2 linked regions of the Rattus norvegicus genome follow. The protein of the gene in region 1 interacts with the protein of each later gene in a pairwise test. Links are inferred from orthologs where the notes say so. Each region holds a gene or a part of one and is shown on either strand. Other genes may lie near its edges.

The links.
Region 2: the proteins of Anks1a (region 1) and Dok3 interact in a two-hybrid assay, tested with the Homo sapiens proteins (2 studies listed by BioGRID and IntAct). The link is inferred for Rattus norvegicus from reciprocal best matches to the Homo sapiens genes ANKS1A and DOK3.

Annotation. Positions count from the first base shown.
Region 1 is NC_086038.1:5,963,796-5,968,384, forward strand, and holds the start of Anks1a (ankyrin repeat and SAM domain-containing protein 1A), read left to right. Parts: upstream 1-1,647; 5' UTR 1,648-1,771; coding exon 1,772-1,959; intron 1,960-4,589. UniProt on the Homo sapiens protein: Regulator of different signaling pathways. Regulates EPHA8 receptor tyrosine kinase signaling to control cell migration and neurite retraction.
Region 2 is NC_086035.1:9,113,972-9,118,527, forward strand, and holds the start of Dok3 (docking protein 3), read left to right. Parts: upstream 1-1,603; 5' UTR 1,604-1,627; coding exon 1,628-1,693; intron 1,694-2,465; coding exon 2,466-2,771; intron 2,772-4,556. UniProt on the Homo sapiens protein: DOK proteins are enzymatically inert adaptor or scaffolding proteins. They provide a docking platform for the assembly of multimolecular signaling complexes. DOK3 is a negative regulator of JNK signaling in B-cells through interaction with INPP5D/SHIP1.

The sequences.
Region 1 (4,589 bases):
GAAGCGTTTTTGAAAGAGCGTACATTCGTTTACCGAGAGACTTCTTTTTCTTCTCCTTCCTGGGAATGCAATGCCAATGAATCCTTCTTTAACTTGACTCCTTCAGCGCAAAGTCGAGGGAACAGGGAGAAAACTTCGTCCCTGTTGTTGCCTTGGACTGAGCAACTTCCGGCAGCGACCCAACCTCGTATTTTCTGAAGAACTGAGACCACCGGCTTGTGTCCACCAGGGAACTGCTTAGGCTTACCTTCTGTTTCGCAAGCATCTCTATCTAGTGCCAACAGAACGTAGCCAACTCGTTGAACGTAGCCAGAACCTTGAATTTCATTCATTGTCTCAAATATTGGCCACCTGCCTCGCGTCAGAACAGGGCTAGCTAGTATCCTGAGAAAAACCAGAAAAAACAATAAGCAAGCAAACAATCGTCTTCTCCCCATTACCTTTTCCCCTCAGTCCACCAATATTAAAAATTGGGACTGGTCCCCCAAATCTTTTAAAATGTTTCTCACGACAACTAAGAGAAAGAAGGTCTCTTCTGACCATTTATTGGAAGAATTAGTAGGATGGAGAGCGAGGATATGCGTTTTAAAAAGACTTCTTGTGCTGGAGAGATGGCTCAGTGGTTAAGAGCAATGACTACTCTTCCTGAGGTTCTGAGTTCAAATCCCAGCAACTACAATGGTGGCTCACAACCATCTGTAACGAGATCTGATGCCCTCTTCTGGTGTGTCTGAAGACAGCTATAGTGTACTTACATATAATAAATGAATCTTTTAAAAAAAGATTTCTTAACTTTTTCTTTCGTGTGTATGGGTGTTTTGCATATAAGTCTGGGCTCCGCACGCTTTCGTGGTACCCTGGGAGGCCAGAAAAGAGGATCACATCCGCTAGAACTGGAGTTACAGACTGCAGTGAGGTGCCACAAGGAATGGGAAACAAACCTAGATCCTCTGACAGAGCAGCCACGGAGCCACCTAACAGCCACTCCCGTACCGCCTCTTCCGCCCCCCTTTTTGAGATAGGGTCTCATTATGTAGCCTTGGCTAGCCCGTAACTTGCTTTGTAAGCCAGGCTGGTCTTAAACTCGCAGAGATGCGGCGGCTTCTGCTTCCCGACTGCTGGGACAAACGGCGAGTGCTACAATGCCAGGCTAACAGCAGTTGTAAAAACTCTCTGGCCTTCCCTCAAGGAAGCACCAGAGGGCGGGATTTTTCAAGTCTGGTTCTAGGTATCCGCAGCTATTCCGTAGTTAATCTATGTGTCTTGAATGGAATTGAAAACATGGGTACCCGTTACCGCCTTTCTTTTGTTTCTACGATGCCTGGACCAATGAGCGGATTTCCAGTCCCATGAGGTCCCAAACCTTTGAGAAGGCGAGCACTTCGGGAAGCTCCAACAAGTGTGCTGCCTTCCTTCTCTCCCACCTGTCGAATGGGCGGGTTCGCTGGGCGTGAACCGCGTCTGCGCCAGGCTCCACTCTGCACGCCCGGACTTCCACTCTGCCACCCTGGGTCACCTGCAAGGCGGCGCCGAGCCCCGCCCACTAGGTGGGCAAGGGGGCGGGGCGCGGGGGCGCGGTGACGCGTGACGCCGGATCCCGGAAGTGACGCGCCATCAGGGGAGGGGGAGACCAAGGAGGCGGGGAGGGGGAGAGAGGGGGTGGCGTCCCCGGCCGGTTTGAGGGGTGCGTTGCCCGGAGACGGAAAGTTTAGGAGCCTGAGCTGGCTCTGCAAGGCTAGGGGTTGGGGTCCGAGGGGTGGCGGTCCTGGGGATGGGGAAGGAGCAGGAGCTGCTGGAGGCGGCCCGCACCGGGCACCTCCCGGCCGTGGAGAAGCTGCTGTCCGGGAAGCGGCTCTCCTCCGGCTTCGGCGGCGGCGGCGGCGGCGGCTCCGGCAGCGGCGGCGGCTCCGGGGGCGGCGGCCTCGGCTCTTCCAGCCACCCTCTCTCCAGTCTGCTGAGGTGAGTGCGCGCGCCGGGGCTCGCAGTCCGGACTGCGCGGGCTCCCCCGAGAGGTCGCGGCTCCTACGGCGCGCGCGGCGCAGGCCGGGGCTCTCGTGTCTGGCGTCGCGGCTGCGGAGAATGGGGGGAGTGCCCAGGTGGCAGCCCGCGCCGCATGGCACAGCTCGGCGTCACCCTCGCCCGCCGTGAGGTGCCAGCTGTCGCTTCTCACAAAAGCCACTTCAGAGCAGACCGAATTCGCGGAATCCCTCTCACATCCTGCAGGAACTCCCACGCCGCGCGCAGCCTCGCGGCTCCCCTGGAGCACATTCTCGTTTCCTTCTCTTAGGAACTTAGGAACCTTCCACCCGGGCTGTGCAGAACCCGGCTTTTGTTTGTTTTTAAAATTGCTTCTGCGTTGATCGCGCACGAGGTGTTCAGTCTGTGAGCCCCTCTTGGCGCCTGAAGCTCAGTTTGTCATTTCCTTGTTGTCACTCTGGCTGGGTTCGTCCAAGTGGCATCTGCTCATTTCCCCCTGGGACTTAATCGCAAAGAAACCAAGGCTTGCTTAAGGGAGCTTAGGTGCGTTCAACTTTCTGAGATCTTTTAGACGCTTGAATCTCGGGCTGCAAGGCGTCGGGAGGGAGTAGGGGGTCACTCTTTGTAGTTTACAAGGGGGATTGGAATGCTCTGTCAGAGTGCACAAAATGTGTTGGTTCAGCAGCGCTTTCGTAGCTGTTTTCTTTTCCTTCCTTGTTCTTTTGAGGTTTTTAAGAAGTGGAAGTTCATTTAGAAGTGGCTTCCTTAGCTTCTGTTCCCTGTAGGTTCATGCACCTTCAGTTTAAGTAAGCTTGGAGAGGTTGCAACCAGGAAGCCCACGGCTTTAATAAATAGGTATTCATTCAGTCCTGAGTCTCAACCCACATATTTTCAGGAAGATTTTTAAAAGCACTATACAAGAACCCTCCCCTTCCTTTGATGGGGAAAAAGCCGATTCTGTTTGGCTGCACTCAGTCTCTTGAAGAATACTGGCTCATAGGTGGTAATCAAAGTTTTTTGAATAGATAAAAAGTACTGATTCTAGTAGAATGGTTGTGTGTGTGTGCCTATGTTTGGGTGTGTGTGTGTGTGTGTGTGTGCGCGCGCGCGCGCGCGCGAATGTGCACGATGAAGGCTAGACGTTGACATCTGGCGTCTTCCTCACTTGCTCTCCCCCAAAACCTGGAGTTTGCTGATTGCGCCAAACTGGCTGGCCAGCAAGTCCCAGGGATTTCCCTGCCTCTGCCTTCCCAGTACTAACATTACAGCCACGTTGGCGCGCTCTCTCTCTCTCTCTCTCTCTCTCTCTCTCTCTCTCTCTCTCTCTCTTTATTCTTCCTTTAAACATGGGTGCTAGATCAAATTCAAGGGTTCCTGTTTGCTGAACAAGCACTCTATGGACTGAGCCATCTCCTCAGGGGATGATCAGCCTCTAAATAAATTGAGATCCTAGCTGGTAGTGGTTGGCACTTCAGAGGACAGACACTTCTCTGGGATAGGTTAGAATCTCCAGGGGAGGTGCACCGAGGCTGGCTTTGAAGTCAAGGTTTGGGTAGATAGCACGTAGTTGGGAATGCTCAGAGGAAGCACACCCTGTTCAGAGGCAGGGTTTGTTTGCTGTTTGTGGACTACTCGGGGACTTCCTGCTTGGGATCTTGAGTAGTCGTGCCTTTAAAGGCAAATAAGAATGGATCGGTATACTTTTGGCTCTCATGTTAGCAGCCTGTCTTGTATTAGCACACTTGTATTCTCAGTCTCTATATTAGCACCTGAAGACAGAGTCTCCCAGTTGGGGTTTCTATTGCTGTGATGAGACACCATGACTAAAAGCAAGTTGGGGAGGAAAGGGTTTATTTAATGGCTTGCACTCCCACATCATAGTCTGGTCACTCACTCAGGACCAGAACTCACCAGGGCAGGAACCTGGAGGCAGAGCTGATGCAGAGGCCATGGAGGGGTGCTGCCGACTGGCTTGTTCTCCTGGCTTGCTCCTCATGCCTTGCTCAGCCCTCTTTCTTATAGAACCCAGGACTACCAGCCCAGGGGATGGCACCACCTACAGTGGGCAGAGCCCTCCCCCATCAATCACTAATTAAGAAAATGCCCTACAGCCAGATCTTATGGGGGCATTTTCTCAGTTGGGGCTCCCTCCTTCCAGGTGACTCTAGTTTGTGTCAGTGGGTGTAAAACCAGCCAGCACACAGGCGCTCAGCAACTAAACACGGAACACTTTTTTCCCTCATTTCTTTGTTTGTTTGTTTTTAGGCAGTGCCTCACTACATCGCCTTGGGCTGGAACTCATTAAGTAGGCTGGGCTGGCTTTGAACTAGCAGAGATCCGCCTGCCTCTGCCTCTGCCTCCCACGTGCTGGACTTCCCACTTTTTTTTTTTTTTTTTTTTTTTAATTCTGCACGTACTCCTTTAGCTGAGAGGCAAGGGAAAACTGCACGGATGATGCAGTACTTGGGGATTTGCCGTGGACGCCCTCTGCCTCGGGGGAGGGGGACATAAACTTTCCGCACATCTTCTGCCCTCTGATACAGGTCAGGTTCCTCTTGGTGTGCCCTCAGAGGCAGTGGGACGTTGTTGAGATCTGGTTGCCACATACATAG
Region 2 (4,556 bases), on another chromosome or scaffold:
CAGGCGCCTTCTACCCCTGTTCTGCCTCACTTTCCCTGGGCTGTAAAGACTGAAACAAGCCAGGCTGATAACTGGGGAGCCACAGGTAAGACATGTACATGCCGATGGCCTGTTGAAAGACTGGCTGGCCCACCAACCCAGCCGGGGCTTCACTTTCCTGTAAGAAGGGGCCAAAGAGGTGGTACAGCAGCACCCAGGTACTTGGAGCTCTGCACCGAGAACTGCAAGGAGAGGTAGCAGTCCCTCAGGCTAGGTCTGTCGCTCAGCGTGTGGCCTCCGCCAGTTACTTAAGTTATCTGAGCCTTGATTTCCTCATCACTGAACTGTCAAGAGAACGAAAAGCACAGGACCAGGCTGTGTGAGCTCAGAGCTGCCTGGACCACAGCCATGGTGGGCACGGAGCTGCCTGGACCACAGCCATGGTGGGCACGGAGCTGCCTGGACCACAGCCATGGTGGGCACGGAGCTGCCTGGACCACAGCCATGGTGGGCACAGAGCTAGGTGCCAAAGGCCTCTTGAGTGTATTTCCATGTGCACTGTGTGACAACACACACACACCCCACAAACAACATTCCTCAGCTGGGTTACAGCATTCTTCCCCAAGGTGACATTACACAGGTGACAAGATACTCCCATAAATTGTATTCATGCAAAGCTCCAATACTGGCCTCCAACAAGGCAGGTCAGGTGGGGTGGGGTGGGGGCAGAGTCACTGGGCAGGAAGCAACGCTTAAAGAAGCATGTGACCTCCCTGGGGAGCGCACTGGGGGCCTGCCGCCCACACATGTGACAAGCAGTGAACCTGGATATGGAGCCCTTGTGGCCTGCTACCTCATGTCTGTTGTGTAATGCTTCACTCTCCAGTTTTGGAGAGTGGTCAAGGAAGGCCTCTAGGAAGAAGCAGCCGCCTGTGGCAGGGCAGAGCAGTGGTAAGGGGTGCCTAGAGGGGACGGATCTGAAGAACTACACCTCAGGAAGTAAAGGCGAGAACAGATGGGGTGGAGTTGCCCAGACTAGACTCAAGGGGGAACAACAAGATTGGTGGACACAGCTGGGGTGGGCCTAAGTGGGGTGAGATGAAAATGAGCTTTGGAAACATTTCTGATTGACCTGGGAATGTATGGCGGTTACCTTAGCATGTCCAAGGCCCTGGGTGGATCCCAGTGCTTAAGAGCACGGCAAACGTGCCACTCAGAATGGCAGCCACTTTAGCAATCTGGTAGAGAAGGGTCGGAGGCTGTGCAGCTCCCATCCTCACGTTGCACAGCTGCCTGGGAATGGGGGAGGGTTCGGAGCTTGTGACTCGGCATCCACCCTGTGGTCAGACACTCAGATCCAGCTGATCCAGGTGCATGCGCAAGAGGCAGTCCTCACCCCCCACGCCACCCCGGACCCTGCTGGCTTCAAGCTCCCCATAGGCAGGTACGGTTTCTTGGAACAGCAAGGACCCTAAGGAAGAGATTTGTTCTGAGTACTGTCCTTTAAACCAAGACCGGGCTCCCCTCCCCCTGGCCCTGCAGCTGTCTCTGGACAGAGGGAGGGGGAAGTGGCCAAAAAACGAGAAGTTAAGAGAAGTTCCTGTCCGGCTATACCCAGTCTCCTCGGGACTTCAGAACTGTTGTGGCCATGGAATCTGTGGAGACACCTGTCAAGGACGGCCTCCTCTACCAGCAGCACATGAAGTTTGGCAAGGTGGGAAGCCCAGGCTGCCAGCCACGGGCAGAGGAGGGAAGCCCCTGCTTAGCTAACCACACAGCTGACCTGAGATAACTGGGAAGGGGGTATGGGTGAAGTGAAAGCTGGAGACAGGAGGTTCTTGGCCCAAGAAGGTTAGGGATGAAGCCTCCTCCCTAAGCCAGCCTCATACCGTGTTAGAGATGCCAGGACCATGGAAGCGTTGTAGGAATCAAAACCTGTGTGTCCAAGGGTTCCAAGGCTCCTGGAGAAGGCCCAGGCCTGTGTGTCAGAAGCCCTCTGAGGACGGAGCAGACAGGCTGGTTCTCCTGGAGAGGAGATGGGCTGGGAATCTATCTTTTTTTCTCCTTGAGCATCAGACTGTACACCCACAGTTCAACTACAGCTGCTCCTGGGCAGATAAACCGTCTGCTGCCTCTGCGATGTCATTTGCATGTTTCCTTCCTTACCAGCATGAAGCAGAGGCCGCCTTCCCACCCCACCCAGCCCATGGCCCAAGTGCCCTTTCTGGTTGTGTAACAGCAGTGTCAGTTGGTCTGCCCCAGCCATTAGATACTATTAACTGTGAAGGTCATCCAGAACAGGGCAAGGTGTGACCAGGGCTCAGGGCTGACCAGCCCCAAGTGTAGATCTCTTCCTGCCTACCCCTGCCCCAGCAAGGCCTCCTCCTTCCTCAGTACCCTAAGTCCTAGGGAGGCAGAAGCTAAGCAGCTTGTACAGAGCCAAGGGGCAAGGGTGGCTTTCTTCCCAAGGATCTCCTTTCTTACAGAAATGCTGGCGCAAAGTGTGGGCTCTGCTGTATGCAGGAGGCCCGTCGGGAGTAGCTCGGCTAGAAAGCTGGGACGTTCGTGATGGTGGCCTGGGGCCAGGAGGTGACAGGCCCGCAGGGCCTGGCCGTAGAGGGGAACGCCGGATCATACGCTTGGCTGACTGTGTATCTGTTCTGCCGGCGGATGGTGAGAGTTGCCCCAGGGACACTGGGGCCTTCCTGATCACCACCACTGAGCGAAGCCACCTGCTGGCTGCACAGCACCGCCAGTCATGGATGGACCCCATCTGCCAGCTGGCCTTCCCGGTGAGTGTAAAGTGAACCAGCCTGCAGGGACCACCTCACCCCGCTTCCCCATGTCCTTGCCTAGTCAGATCCGGCCGAGTGGTAAGTGTTGTCCAATCCATGCAAATAGAAACCCATGAAAGAGTCCTGTATTCTCCGCACGTTATAGAGCAAAGGAAACTGTAGGTCAGGAGGACAAGTGGGTCTGAGCCCCGAGGGACAAGAGCAAGCACACAGGGCAATGGTCTGAGACGGGTGGCTGAGCCAAATGGACAGGTACTACAACACAGTGGTATCATAGGCAAAGGTCCTGGGGCAGGGAAACATGATCTGTTTAAAGAGCCAAACAACAGCTAAGACACACAAGAGTCAAGACATTTGGAAAGGTCAGCCAGAGCCTTTTGAATCCACCTTGGGCCATGTGTGGGTAAGAGGTTTTATGATGAACCCAAGAGGATGGCTTTGGGTATTAAAGCCAGGGGCTAATGGTTGTAAAGCCTCAGGCTAATGGTTGTAAAGCCTCAGGAGAGTTTACTTTCAGACAAACTCTCCTGACTTCCTCACCAAGTTGCTCATGGAGCAGCTGGAGAGGTGCTGCTCTTGTCGAAGGCTGGTGTTCAAGGCCCAGCCCACACACAGCAGCTCACAACCGTAAGTCCCAGGGGCTTCGATACCCCCTTCTGACCTCCATGGGCACGATACACATGTAGAACACAGACACGCATGTCGGCAAAATTGATCGTGAGGTTATCATATGGCTGCCGTTCTCCCACTTGAGGTATAGCCAAGAGAATGAAAGAAGGTGCAATGTAGGCCAATGCTCACAGCAACACGGTGTAGTCACCCAGAGGTGAGACAGCACGTGACCCCCTCACCCCCTCAGGAAGAGCTAATCAGAACCTCACCCTGGGCAGGGTGGTACTATCTGTAACCTCAGCATTTGGAAGGCGGAGGGAGAAGGGTCATCTCCATGGCCAGTCCCAGGCTAGCCTGGACTACTTGGGACCCTGTCTCAAAAGCAAGATAAAAAACAACTAACGTGTAACTACGACATGAAAGACATCAGAAGGTAACGTGCTCGATCTCCTAATTTTTAAAACCGCGACCCAGAATAAGCGCATCCACACAGACAGACAGCAGGTGCTGCCGTGCGAGGGAAGAGGGCTGGCTGCTGGCTCACGGGGACGGGCTGTCATTTGAGATGGTGACAGGCTCTGGATTAGGTGCTGCTGCCGGCTGTACGCACATGTGAAGCCACTAAAACCCACTGAACTGGGTACCTTAAAATAGTAATGTCCAGGGCTTGAGAAATGACTCCGTAGCGAGGAGCATGGACGGCCCTTCCAGAGTAGTAGAGTTCAATTCCCAGCAACCACATGGCAGCTCACAACGTCTGTCACTCCAGTTCCAGAGGACCTGACACCCTCACGCCAATCCAATACACACAAAATAAAATTGGATAAATAAAAAAAAATGGTAATGTTGATTCGTATTGTTTGTTTGTGTTTGTAGACAAGGTTTCTCCATATAGCCCTGGCTGTTCTAGAACACACTCTGTAGACCAGGCTGGCCACCTGCTTACCTCTCAAATGCTGAGATTAATGCTACCCCCACACCACCACCTAACCACACCACCTAGCTTATCACTCACTTTTTTTTAAATTAGGAAATGCATAGGGAGCCAGGCAGTGATGGCACACTACTTTAATCCTAGGTCTTGGGAGTCAGAGTCTAATGGATCTCTTGAGTTCAAGGCTAGCCTGGTCTACAAGTGAGTTAGTGAGTTCCAGAAGAGCCAAGGCTACA